Linked DNA regions of Macaca fascicularis. The protein of the gene in region 1 interacts with the protein of each later gene in a biochemical or structural test. Links are inferred from orthologs where the notes say so. Each region holds a gene or a part of one and is shown in the gene's direction. Other genes may lie near its edges.

Region 1 (3,500 bases):
ATTCTTATTTTACCTTTTTAAATTTTAAACAGAGGAAGAATTGTTTTAGGATATACTGAAGCAGAACTGTGCACGAGAGGATCAGGGTATCAGTTTATTCATGCTGCTGATATGCTTTATTGTGCTGAGTCCCATATCCGGAGTAAGTTGTAGTTCCTTATGAACATGTCAGAAAAAAACAGCATACACTGTAGTACATGTTTCAAATTCTTATGTAATATAACGTGTTTAAGTAAACTATATAGATAAACTTCTACTTAGTAACTTATCATCATGATTAACCAGGGTTACACTCTTTGTTCATTAACTTGTCTACACCTGCCTCATAGAAATATTGTTGTTTAGTTATTAAAAAATAACCATTTGGCCCATGAAGTTTTGCTTGGGAATTTTTAAATTACATTGTTATCAATTCATAAATATATGTTAATATTGTAACAATGATGTTAATAACTCTACTTTAAAATTATAAAGTATTAGCCTGTAGGAAAATATTCCCTATTTTAAAATAATTTTTTAATCTTTTTTGTCCCCAATTTATGCTCTCTCTCTACTTTCCTGTGTTACTAGAATTGTCTGGTACATAATCTTCCCTTTAACATTTAAAATAATAAATTTAGTCTGAAGTGGAAAAAAAACTCTGAAAAACCATTTCCATGCCTTTTTTTGTGTGTGTCTAAAATGTATCATCTTTGGGGATAAAGGAAATACATCCAGAACTATGTCACAAGAGCTTTGTTTTAGGAATATTCTTTAATATATTGATTTGGGGTTTGATAATTTAATTTTTTAATTTTATTTTAGTGATTAAGACTGGAGAAAGCGGCTTGATAGTTTTCCGGCTTCTTACAAAAAACAATCGATGGACGTGGGTCCAGTCTAATGCACGCCTGCTTTATAAAAATGGAAGACCAGATTATATCATTGCGACTCAGAGACCACTAACGTAAGCAAAAGAATGTTTCCTGTTTTTGTTAACAGTTTTGTTTTCATAAGTCCTCTTATGTGAAAGCATAAAAATAATTCAAGCAGAATTTAGTCTGTAAATAAAAACTGAAAAGTTTAAGTAATTTGTCTAGAAAGAAGAGCACAGGTGAGAGACATTGAGAAGACAGAATTGACAAATTTTATTGAGCAGCTACATGTGCAGAGCTATAGAAAGAATAGTAAAAGAAAACACTAGGGTTTTATCCTGGGCATATGAAGTACATATGAAAAGCTAGTGTCATTGGTAAAATAAAAGAAAAATATAACAATGCTTTATTTAGAATATGTTCTCTAAACCCAGCAGTGATTTCAAGAGTTTCTTACATATGTTACAAATGAGTCCTTTATCAAATATTTGTATTGCAAATGTTTCCTCCCACCCTGGAGAATTGATTTTTGTCTGTGGCTTGAGGTAAGGATTGATTCCCCCCAGCCCTTATATGTATACCCAATTGACCAGTCACATTGAAAAGGTGATTTACTGAGAAGGTCATCTTTTCCCCACTGCACTGTATTTTGATCAGGGGATTTTGTCTTTGGTTCTCTGTCTGGATTGTGTTGTTCTATTAATAGTTCCATTGGTGTAGTTGTCTATTTTGTCTAGCATTACACAGTCCTAGTTATTCTATCTTTATTATAAATTTCTATGTCTGAGTGTGTCTTTATTTTGTTTGTTTCGCCTTTTTTGTTGTTCTGCTTGTGAAGATTGCCTTGGTTCTTCTTTGCCCTTTATAATTCCATATACATTTTAGAAAACAGTTGTCTGAAAATCTGTTGAGATTTTGAGTGAGATTACTTTGAGACTGTAGATCATTTGGGGAGAATTAACATCTTTTTAATACTGAATCTTTGAACCCATGAACATGGTGAATGTATGTGTGTATATAAGTACCCATGGAAGTATATGAGTATGTGTGTACAGATGTATATGAGTGCGTGGGTATGTGTGTACCTCTACAAATTTGTCCTTCTCGCTTGATCAATGTTTCTAGAAGGCACCTTTTTTAAATTAGACTTTATTAGTCTTTATTAGAATCCAACTTTTGGTTTATTGATTTTTTTTCTATTTTATACACTTGTTTTCAGTTTTAATTTTGTCTGCTCATTATTATTTTCTTCCTTCTACTTTCTTTGGGTATAATTTACGATTTTATCCAACTTTTAAAAAATATATACTTAAACATATATATCAGTTTCCCTTTAAGTACAACTTTACAACCCTCATCTTTTGCTATCTTATTTTTATTTAATTGAAAATACTGGCTAATTTTCTTTTTATTTTATTTTTATTCACGAATTATTTAGAAATACAGTGTTACTGTACTTTTTGGTGTTTGGGGATTTTTCTACTTGCCTTTTTGTGATTGACTTAGTAACTTAGTTCCACTATAGTCAGAAAACGTTCTCTGAATGAATTTCAGTTTTTTTGAAATTTGTGGTGGCTTATTTTATGATCTAATACACGCTCTACATTGGTAAAATAACCCATGTAATCTTGTGAAGAATACATGTTCTGTCATTTGGGAGTATGTTGTTCTTTTTGTATATCAGAAGTCTAGTTTGTTAATTGTGTTCATATTTCTATACATTTGTTATTTTGTGTGCTTCTGTTACTAAGACATGTTGTTTTCATTTATTTATTACTAATAGGGGGCATCTTTTTACATCTTTCTAGGATATTTTTCTTTTATAAATTACATTTGTGTCATTTACCTGTTTTTCTGTTGAGTTGTTTGCCTCTCTCTTAGACACTATTGGAGCTCTTTATTATGGATATGAAATTATATATATATATGTTAAATTATAAATTATATATGTTACAAATATTTTATTTAAGAATTCTATTGCAAAAATACAAATACTTTAATATTAAATAACTTTCATATTACTAATTATGCCAATCTTTGTCTTTATAGCTTCTGGGTTTTATTAGAGAGGTTTGTTGTTTCAGATTCTTAAGTTTCTAATTCCTAATTTTTTTTATTTTGTTATGATTATTTTTTTGAGACAGGATCTTACTCTATCACCTAGGCTGGAATGCAGTGGCACAAATGTGGCTCACTGCAGCCTTAACCTCCCGGCTCAGGCAGTCCTCCTGCCTCAGCCTCCCGAGTAGATGAGACTGTAGGCATGTGCCACCACGCCTAGCTAATTTTTATTTTTTTGTAGAGGTGGGGGTCTCGCCATGTTTCCCAGGTTAGTCTCAAAATCCTGGGCTCGAGCAGTCCGCACACATCAGCCTCCCAAAGTGCTGTAATTACAGGCATGCACCACCGGGCCTGGCCCCTAAATTCTCGTAGTCTGTTTTTATGTGTAGAGCTTTATTCCACACAATTTTGTTTTTGTTTTTGTTTTTGCATGGTGTCAGGTAGGGTTGTAATGTGACCATGGAATTAACTAAGTTATTTTTAAAAAATTAAATCATTTAAATATGCTTGTCTGAAAAACAATTTTATAGCACCAGTCATGAGAATAATTGAGGTGAAAATAAAATATGCCCCCTTTTGAATTCA
Region 2 (4,049 bases), about 81 Mb from region 1:
ATAGCGTTTGGACCTCCTGGGAGAATCCCTAACACCTAGGAAGAATATAGAATAGGAACTGGATATATTTCCTGAATCCACTACAACCTACTACAACAATTACTTTTAATAAAATTGACACTGAATTGTCAAGAAAATGCTAAATGATGTTCAATAAACCGCTTAAGAGAAACATTTGCAATACATTGTAGAAAAATCTTTGTATTATGGTTAAAAATAATTTTCGTAAAAAAAGTTTGACCCCCACTAAGGGGCCAAGCTCCAATTACGCTGGTCATCATTGAAACGGTTTGCTTTGTATCAATTCTGAATAAATGATGCACTAAAAAACAGCAGCCTTTACTAATTTGCCTACAGCAGATTTTGAATTGTGGTATATGCAAATAATATGGTATTATATGAGGTTTAACTTTTTAAAATGGCAACAGATTGCATAGTTCAATCAGTAGGGTGATGTAAAATAATTGTTTTTAAAAGTGCCATTGTCACTAAGGAAAACATCGGTACCATGTGCCCGGCACTGTGCTAGGTGCTGAATTTATTAAGCATTAATTTGAAAAATTGCTTTCACTTTCAAGACTGTGACAGTATTCTAAAACTCTCATTCATATTTTTAAAGGTTAAGTGAAATTTGCAGTACACAATACAGCCATTACATAACAGGCATAGAATACAGTTTCATGACTTGGATAGTTGTTGTTTTTTAAGCGCATTAGCAACTCCATTTTCAAATGCTATCAAATTCTTCAGGATATAAAAACCTACATGTAAGAATGGAGTGCCTCATCGGCTCATTTGTCTTATGTAATAAGTGTTTTAACACAGTCATGCCATTTCAGAATTTCGGGTGAGACTAAGCTATACTTTAGCTTTTTTGTGTCAAGCAAAAACAATTTCAGCAACAACATTGGTTTCCCCTGGTAATTTTTTTCATGGCGAATTACTAAATGCTGGATGCTCAAGTCAAAAAGAAACCTGACATCTGGGGAGGTGTTGAGGGGGTGTTAATAGTTCTAGGGAGATGTTTGGGGAGCGCTGAGGATACGATTTTTAAAACAGCAAATACACGGATAAGGGGAAATTATGGTTTCGTATGACTCTCTCCTCCCTCCACTTTCTCGTTTCAGCAGTCTGTAGCCCCCCCAATTTAGAGGCGGGTTCAGCGAGATTAGGCTGCAGGAAACCAAGAGGCTCCACCGCGCTGCCGCCCCGGCCTCGTGATGTAATTGTTATTTCTTATTCGGAGACTGAACCGAGGAGAGCTGCTGAAGAAGTAGCAGCTCTGCTCCTTTTGCCTTGTCTGGTTCCCGGGGATGATGTAGATTGGCTGACAGACTCCGCTGGAGACTTCGCAGTGACAAAGCAGCCGAGGATTAACCCTGCTCCTGGGTCCTACGTCTGTCCAGGGAGCTGAGCGGGGCGCTCCTCAGGTCTCCTTCCTAGTTTTCCTCCCGGAGTCGCTCCACATGAGGGCTGGGTGCCTACTACGTGCTGGGCGTGGGGTCAAAGTGACCCAGAGTTCGCGCCCGCGCCCCCCACGATTAAAGCAGGACACACAGATTACAAGGAGATAGAAATTGGGTGGGGGGTGAAAGGGGGCCCAGGGAGCGCGTGTTGTGGGGTGAAGGGGAGGAGGTAGACTTTTAAGGCGCCAGCACCCAGGCGGGGACCCTGGGGCGTCTGGGGTGCCCCGGTCCCCAGGCTCTGCCCAAACGGGAGCATTCGGCCTGGGTCCCGAGAGCGCTTCCCCGGGTTCCCAGGAGGAGCTGTCCAGGCGCCTGCAGCGGTCGCGGGCGGCTGGACAGAGCTGGGAGCCCGGAGGACGGCCAGGGCGCGCCGAGCAGCCCCTCTCTTGGGGACGCGGTCCTTTCGCTGCCTCCGGGCCCTGCAGCCCCGTCTGAGCCACCCGGAAAGCAGGCGAGGAGGAAATCCACGAACCATAGGGGGCTCCGCAGCTACCGCGAGCGGCCCGGACCCGCACGGCTTCCTCCTGACCGGCTGACAATGGGAGGGAGGGGGAGAAAAGGGTTAAGAAACTTGGCTGAAGAGCTGAATGGCGTGGGGCGGCGAGGGGAGGGACTGGGCCGCGGCGGACTCGGCGGCGGAGGGAGGAGCGCGGCTGCGGGCGGGCGGGCGGCGAGCGAGGCGCTCAAAGTCAGCCTCGCAGACATTGCAGCAGAGCCCCGAACTCGGGAGGCGGCGGCGGAGGAGGCGGCGGCGAGGCGCAGGGACGATCCGGCCCCACGCCCGCCCGCCACCCGCGCGCGCCCGTCCGCCCGTGGCCTCGCGTCCGCCGCTGCGCCGGGAGCGCCGCTGGTCGGAGGGAAGAGCTCGCCGGGGTGCCGGGCCAGGACGGGGCGGCAGGCGCCTTCGCGGACCGAGCCTGACGGAGCCGGAGGCTGGGAGCCGCGGCGGCCTGGGGTGAGTGACGGCCGCGGCCAGGGCGCCCAGAGTAGCGGCCGCCGGCGCCGCCGGAAACGGCCCCGGAGCGCGGCCCGCGTCGGCGCTGGCTTGGCGGGCAGGGCCGCGGGGGCGTCGGGGCGGCGGGGGCAGCGCGGCCGGCCGCGGGCGCGCACGGGGCGGCGTGGAGGGCGCGTTTCCGGGGAAATCCTGCCTCTGCTGCCTGGTTCGAGTCTCCCCGGGTTCTCGCGGGGGGCCGGGGCGGCGGGCCGGCAAGTTGTGGAGTGGCCCCGGGTCGGCCCGCCCGTCCGTGCCAGTTCTGGGCAAGGGGGCGGCCGTCGCGTGGCCCCTGCGCGGGGTCGGACACTGGAGCTCGGGGGCCGGGTCGGGGTTGCCCCTCGCTCGCCTGCCCTCTTGGTCGCGAACCTCGGGCACCGCTCGCTGCGCCGCTCTCGATCCTGCTGTCCAGCCGGATCCTGGGCGGCGCCTTTCGCCTGGGTGCCTGCCTGCTCCGTGCTTGCTGGATACCCGGCTGGGAAAGTGAATAGGAAAACGGACAGCTCGCCCGGCCCCCAACGGACCCCAGGCCCGCTCTGCCCGCACTCGCCGTCCCCCCCGGATGGCGTGGCTCACGGACCCGAGGCCTCAGCCATCATTTTACCAGGAGCCAGGGGCCGGCCCCCATTTAGGGTGAGCCCCGTGGAAGTCCGGGAGGCTGCCCTTTCTCCCTTCTGCTGTCCCCACCTTACTACTATTGCATATTGTTTTATGAAGGTTTTCGTGGACGTATTCTGCAGACCCTCACATCCCTTCCAAAGTAGTTTCCCAATTTTAATCAGGAGTTGGTGTTCAGTCTGAAGGAACAAAGGAACCAACTGTGTCTTAGAGGCGGACAGGCTGGGAGTCTGTGACACATGTTGATCTCTGAAGCATTCCAGGAGTTTCTACCTTTTATCACGTCAGTAATTGGCTGCTGAAGGTAGTAAAAGAAGTACGGAATGATAAGCACTTTTGCTTTTTAAAAATATTTTTTAATGGCACATTTTACTTTGGGGGAAAGAAGACGTTCTTAGGCACAAGGATTTTTAAAAACTCGGCCGGTGGAACTGAGGTGGAGTTTGTCTCTGGTATTGTAAATGATTACATGTGGGATTGTGAAGGAAATTGTGTCGTTAGAGGAAGAGAAGCCATCTGTAGGTGTCCGTAGTAAAAAATGGTTGTCGGATTATAGGTGATCAATGCTCTTTCTGTTTCTTGGGAAAATTTGTGAAGCAAGGGGCTTCGGTAATTCATTCTTTAAAGTTATGAATTGCATTGAATGCTTATTAGTGAATCATAGGTTTAGTAAGTGGGTGGCATTATTCAATGTTTAATCATCAGTTTTCCACCTTTGTGGAAGAGATAGTGAGATAATAGACTTTTTAAACAAATGGTGTTTCATCTGCTTAGCCCGTAAGTGTCGGTTGCCGCCTGGTGTATGTTGAAATGTTTTCACCTTCGAAGTAAGTGAATTGCTCTGCTTTTGCCCAGCAGTTTGGTAATGTCGATAGGGTTTATTTGGTTCAGGGGAGCGCTGGCTTCATCGCCTATAGTAACTTTTTTTCTGCCTGGGCATAGTTCCTAGAGACAAAGAAGGAGAATCAATTAGT
Region 3 (4,201 bases), on another chromosome or scaffold:
CTTCGGGAATCGGGGTCTCGGTCTCTCTTTCTCTCTCTCTCCTCTCTCTCCTCTCTCTCCTCTCTCTCCTCTCTCTCCTCTCTCTCCTCTCTCTCCTCTCTCTCTCTTCTCTCTCTCTTCTCTCTCTCTCTCTCTCTCTCTCCGTCCCCTCTCATTCTCTCTCTCCTCTCTTCTCTCTCCCCTCTCTCTCCTCTCTCTCTCCTCTCTCAATGTCTCGCGCTCTCTCTCTCCTTTCGTCTCCTCTCTCTCCCTCCCCCTCCCCCTTTTCTCTCTCCCTCTCCGCCTCCCCCCCTCTCCATCTTCTCGTTTGTTTGCTCTTTTCCCGGGACTGATTTGGCCACACTAATCTCCCCCCACCCCGCAACAATATGGGGACTTACTACTGTTTTATTAATAATTATTGAAGCATTGTTGGAGTTTGGAACAGCCAGGTGATTTAAAAAAAAAAAAAAGAAGAAGAAGAAGAAGGAAAAACTGGATTGATTGGAAAGTTTATTTTTAAAATCGTCTTTGGGATAAATAGGAACCCTTGATTCCGATCGAATTTGTGGCAATAGCCGCAAATTCCAGGAGTGTGCTTTGTCGTCATTAAACCTTTTAAACCCAGGTATACTTTGGATCAAAAAATAGGGAGATCCTACCTTGTTTATAACAAGGATATAAAATGAGCAGAATCCAGACTTGGATTGTGCTTATATGTGAGAGAAGAAAACAATCCAAATCCAGTATATTTCACGAATCATTAAAATGGTGGGGGTTTCATTCCCGTTAAAATTTTTTCTAAACATTTTAAATGACACTCTCTTCACGCTCATAAAATCTAATTTTAAAAACTTTTCAGAAGAAATCAAAATAATTTCCTTCTAATTCTCCTTTTGCCCATCGCTAGGCGTTCTCCCCCCCTCGTCATCCCTTCCCCCTCTGGGGTGTATGCGTAAGTGTGTGTGTGTGTGTGTGTGTGTGTGTGTGTGTGTGACCATAGACGACCCATACTAATCAGGTCTCAGAGTAAATAGCAGCGCAGGGCGATCTCAATGTAAATTGCGCTTGTCAGAAACACACCCCCCTCCCTCACTTTCTCTCCTCCTCCCCACACCATCCCAGTCTGTAGGTAGCTAAGAGGGAGGGGGGAAAAAAAGAAAGAAAGCAGAAGAGGAGGGGGGAGGGGCTCTCCAACCAATGGCGTGCAGGAGGCTTGGCTAACCTTAGCCTCCCATTTTCTCTCCCCCCGATTCAGGGCTCTGACCAGTCAGTCGCCTTTGATTATCAGTTGCCAGCAGCCCTTCTCTTGGCTCCTTGACACGAGCTCCATATAAGGCAGCGATCTCCATAGAAACGTGTCAGTTTCAATAGTAGTGTCAAAGTTCACTATATACAGACATTCGCGCAGATCCCCCTTTCGGAAACATTGCTCTGCGAGTCCTCCCGTTTAAACGCATTCAATTTTTGGGTCTCTCTCTCTCTCTTCTCCTCTCTCTCTCTCTCTCTCTGTCTCTCTCTCTCTCTCCTCTCTTTCTCCCCCCTCTCTCTCCCTCCTCTCTTCTCTCTCCTCTCTTCTCTGAACCTCTCTTCTCTCTCCTTTCTCTTTTCTTACATATTCTACTAGTTGTTTTCCCCTTCTTCTCCTTCTTTCTCTCCTTTTTCTCCCTCCTCGTCTCTTTTACTCCATTCCTGCAGAAGAGAGAGGGCTAAACTTAAAGAAAAAAAAAGGAGGAGGAGGAGGAGGAGGAGGCACCCCCTTCGTATTCTTCTTATCGTTATTTTATACATATATGATTTTTTTTGGAGGGAGGGTGTTGGTTCCCGGCTGAAGAGCACTTATTTAAAATACTAAAAAAAGAACATTTTTGGGCGATCTCCAGGGTTTTTTTAACTAGCTCTGTGTGTTATAGCAGAAGAAGCAGAAGAAGGAGCAAGAAAGAGGAAAAGAAGAGGATTATTTATTCGACCTACTTTGGATGTCTCTCTCGCTTTTCCTTTTTCCTTTTTTTGGCAATTATTTTCTTCTGATTTTTATTTTTTCTATTTCGCTGTGAATTCGTCGCCGGCGTGAATTATCCCGTATTTTTTTCCCCCTTCCGTCACCTCCCGAAAGAAGAAGGCAGCTAGAGCCCGGCGCCACCGGCACAACAAAAAGAGCAAAGTGTGTGATCTTCCTCGCCGGCTGCCTCCCGCTCTCCAGCGCTGCCTTCCTGAATGGCTGGCTGCGTCCGGCCCTGGACCTGGCCCCCCGACACCCGCGCGCCCTGATCGCCGCCGGCAGCCTCGCCCAGCGCCCTGCTCGGCTCACCGCGCTCCCTGCACTCCCGAGCCCGGCGAGGGCTCCCGCCGGGACAGCAGCGGCGGCGGCGCGGGCGGCCCCGGCCTCCGCTCGCGCTCCGGCTGCGGCCCCGACTCCTGCTCGGACTCCGGCCCGGGCCCGGGCTCCTCCAGCGGCGCTCGCCGCAGCAGCTCCGGCGGCAGCTCCAGCGGCGCCTGCAGCCGCGACCTCCTCCTCCGCCGCCGCCGCCGCCGCCTCCGCCCTCGCCGGCTTCCTCTATGTCGGCTCAGCCAGCGCGCTGCGCGTAGCCCAAGCGGCCGGCGGGCGGGCGGGCGGGCGCCCGGCGCGGGTGAGCGAGTGTGTGTGCGAGTGTGTGTGTGCGCGGGGGTGCGGGCGAGGCGGAGGGCGAGTCTGTGCGCGCGCCGTGGCCCATGCCCGCCGCCCCCGGCGCTGCGCCCCGCGCCGCTCCCGGCTGCCGCCTGTGCCATTTCTGATTTTGCAACTTGGGGAAGAAGAAAAAAGCGAGAGAAGGGAGCTTGCTCGCCGGGGGGTGGGGAGGGGGGAAGGAGAGCGCGGCCCCCCCAGGAACGGAGCGCGGGGGGAGCGGGCGAGGGGAGCAGGGGTGTTGGGGGGGGAGCCTGAGAGCCTGGGGGGGCTGCAAAAAGAGAGAAAGAAAACAGCAGGAACCACAACAAAACGCCAGCAGGGCGGGCGGGCGCGCAGCAGCAGCGGGGCGGCCGAGGCAGTAGCGGCGGCAGCGGCGGCGGCGGCGGAGGCAGCGGCCGGTGCCCAGCTCGGGCTCGGCTCCTGCGACCCCGGGGCGCCCGGCGGGCCCCCCGCCCCCTCCCCCTCCCCCCTTCCCCTTCCCCTTCCCCTCCCAGCGCGCCGGCGCGCCCCGCGGCCCTCGGCGAGCAGCTCGGCTCCCCCCAGCGCTCCCCGGGCCCAAAGATATGGCAATGGTAGTTAGCAGCTGGCGAGATCCGCAGGACGACGTGGCCGGGGGCAACCCCGGCGGCCCCAACCCCGCAGCGCAGGCGGCCCGCGGCGGCGGCGGCGGCGCCGGCGAGCAGCAGCAGCAGGCGGGCTCGGGCGCGCCGCACACGCCGCAGACCCCGGGCCAGCCCGGAGCGCCCGCCACCCCCGGCACGGCGGGGGACAAGGGCCAGGGCCCGCCCGGTTCGGGCCAGAGCCAGCAGCACATCGAGTGCGTGGTGTGCGGGGACAAGTCGAGCGGCAAGCACTACGGCCAATTCACCTGCGAGGGCTGCAAAAGTTTCTTCAAGAGGAGCGTCCGCAGGAACTTAACTTACACATGCCGTGCCAACAGGAACTGTCCCATCGACCAGCACCACCGCAACCAGTGCCAATACTGCCGCCTCAAGAAGTGCCTCAAAGTGGGCATGAGGCGGGAAGGTGAATATTTCTTCTCTGCTTCTCTCCCCGCGCTTCGCCCGCCTCCCTGGCTCTTTCTTTCTTTCTCGCCCGGGTGGTTGCTGTGTGGGGCTGGGGCTCCTGTGGTCCCGGCCTGTCCCAGCTTCCCTTCTCCCCGCTGCCTTCCTCCCCCGGCGTCTCCCCCCGCCCTCCCCAGCTCACTGCCGCTGCCTCCCCCTCCCGGCCTGCGCTCCTCTCCCCGGCTCCCCCACCCCGCCCGCTGCCTGCTCAGGATTGTGTCCCTGAGATCGTGAGCTGTGGCTTAAAATCCCCCTTCTTCCCTCTGTCTTGGATGTGCTCGGTGTGTCTCTTTCCCGCGTGTGCGTGAGGCTGCTTGGGGCTGTGCTGGCATGAACTTGGGGAGGGGTGCTTATTTCCCCCAGAAAACTCTGTTTCTGTGTTTTTTTCATTACACTTTTCCCTCCACCTCTTCATACCCTTTATTTAAAATGGGGGAGGGTTGGGGTTGGAGTACCCTGAACCATAGATTCATTGCTGCCATCATCCTTT

What was found.
Region 2: the proteins of AHR (region 1) and NRIP1 form a complex in vitro, tested with the Homo sapiens proteins (2 studies listed by BioGRID). The link is inferred for Macaca fascicularis from reciprocal best matches to the Homo sapiens genes AHR and NRIP1.
Region 3: the proteins of AHR (region 1) and NR2F1 form a complex in vitro, tested with the Homo sapiens proteins (2 studies listed by BioGRID). The link is inferred for Macaca fascicularis from reciprocal best matches to the Homo sapiens genes AHR and NR2F1.

The regions. Positions count from the first base shown.
Region 1 is NC_088377.1:112,862,289-112,865,788, reverse strand, and holds part of AHR (aryl hydrocarbon receptor), read left to right. Parts: intron 1-32; coding exon 33-142; intron 143-804; coding exon 805-946; intron 947-3,500. UniProt on the Homo sapiens protein: Ligand-activated transcription factor that enables cells to adapt to changing conditions by sensing compounds from the environment, diet, microbiome and cellular metabolism, and which plays important roles in development, immunity and cancer.
Region 2 is NC_088377.1:32,171,461-32,175,509, forward strand, and holds the start of NRIP1 (nuclear receptor-interacting protein 1), read left to right. Parts: upstream 1-1,249; 5' UTR 1,250-1,430; intron 1,431-1,938; exon of another isoform or gene 1,939-2,006; intron 2,007-4,049. UniProt on the Homo sapiens protein: Modulates transcriptional activation by steroid receptors such as NR3C1, NR3C2 and ESR1. Also modulates transcriptional repression by nuclear hormone receptors.
Region 3 is NC_088380.1:97,584,113-97,588,313, forward strand, and holds the start of NR2F1 (COUP transcription factor 1), read left to right. Parts: upstream 1-1,401; 5' UTR 1,402-3,210; coding exon 3,211-3,673; intron 3,674-4,201. UniProt on the Homo sapiens protein: Coup (chicken ovalbumin upstream promoter) transcription factor binds to the ovalbumin promoter and, in conjunction with another protein (S300-II) stimulates initiation of transcription. Binds to both direct repeats and palindromes of the 5'-AGGTCA-3' motif.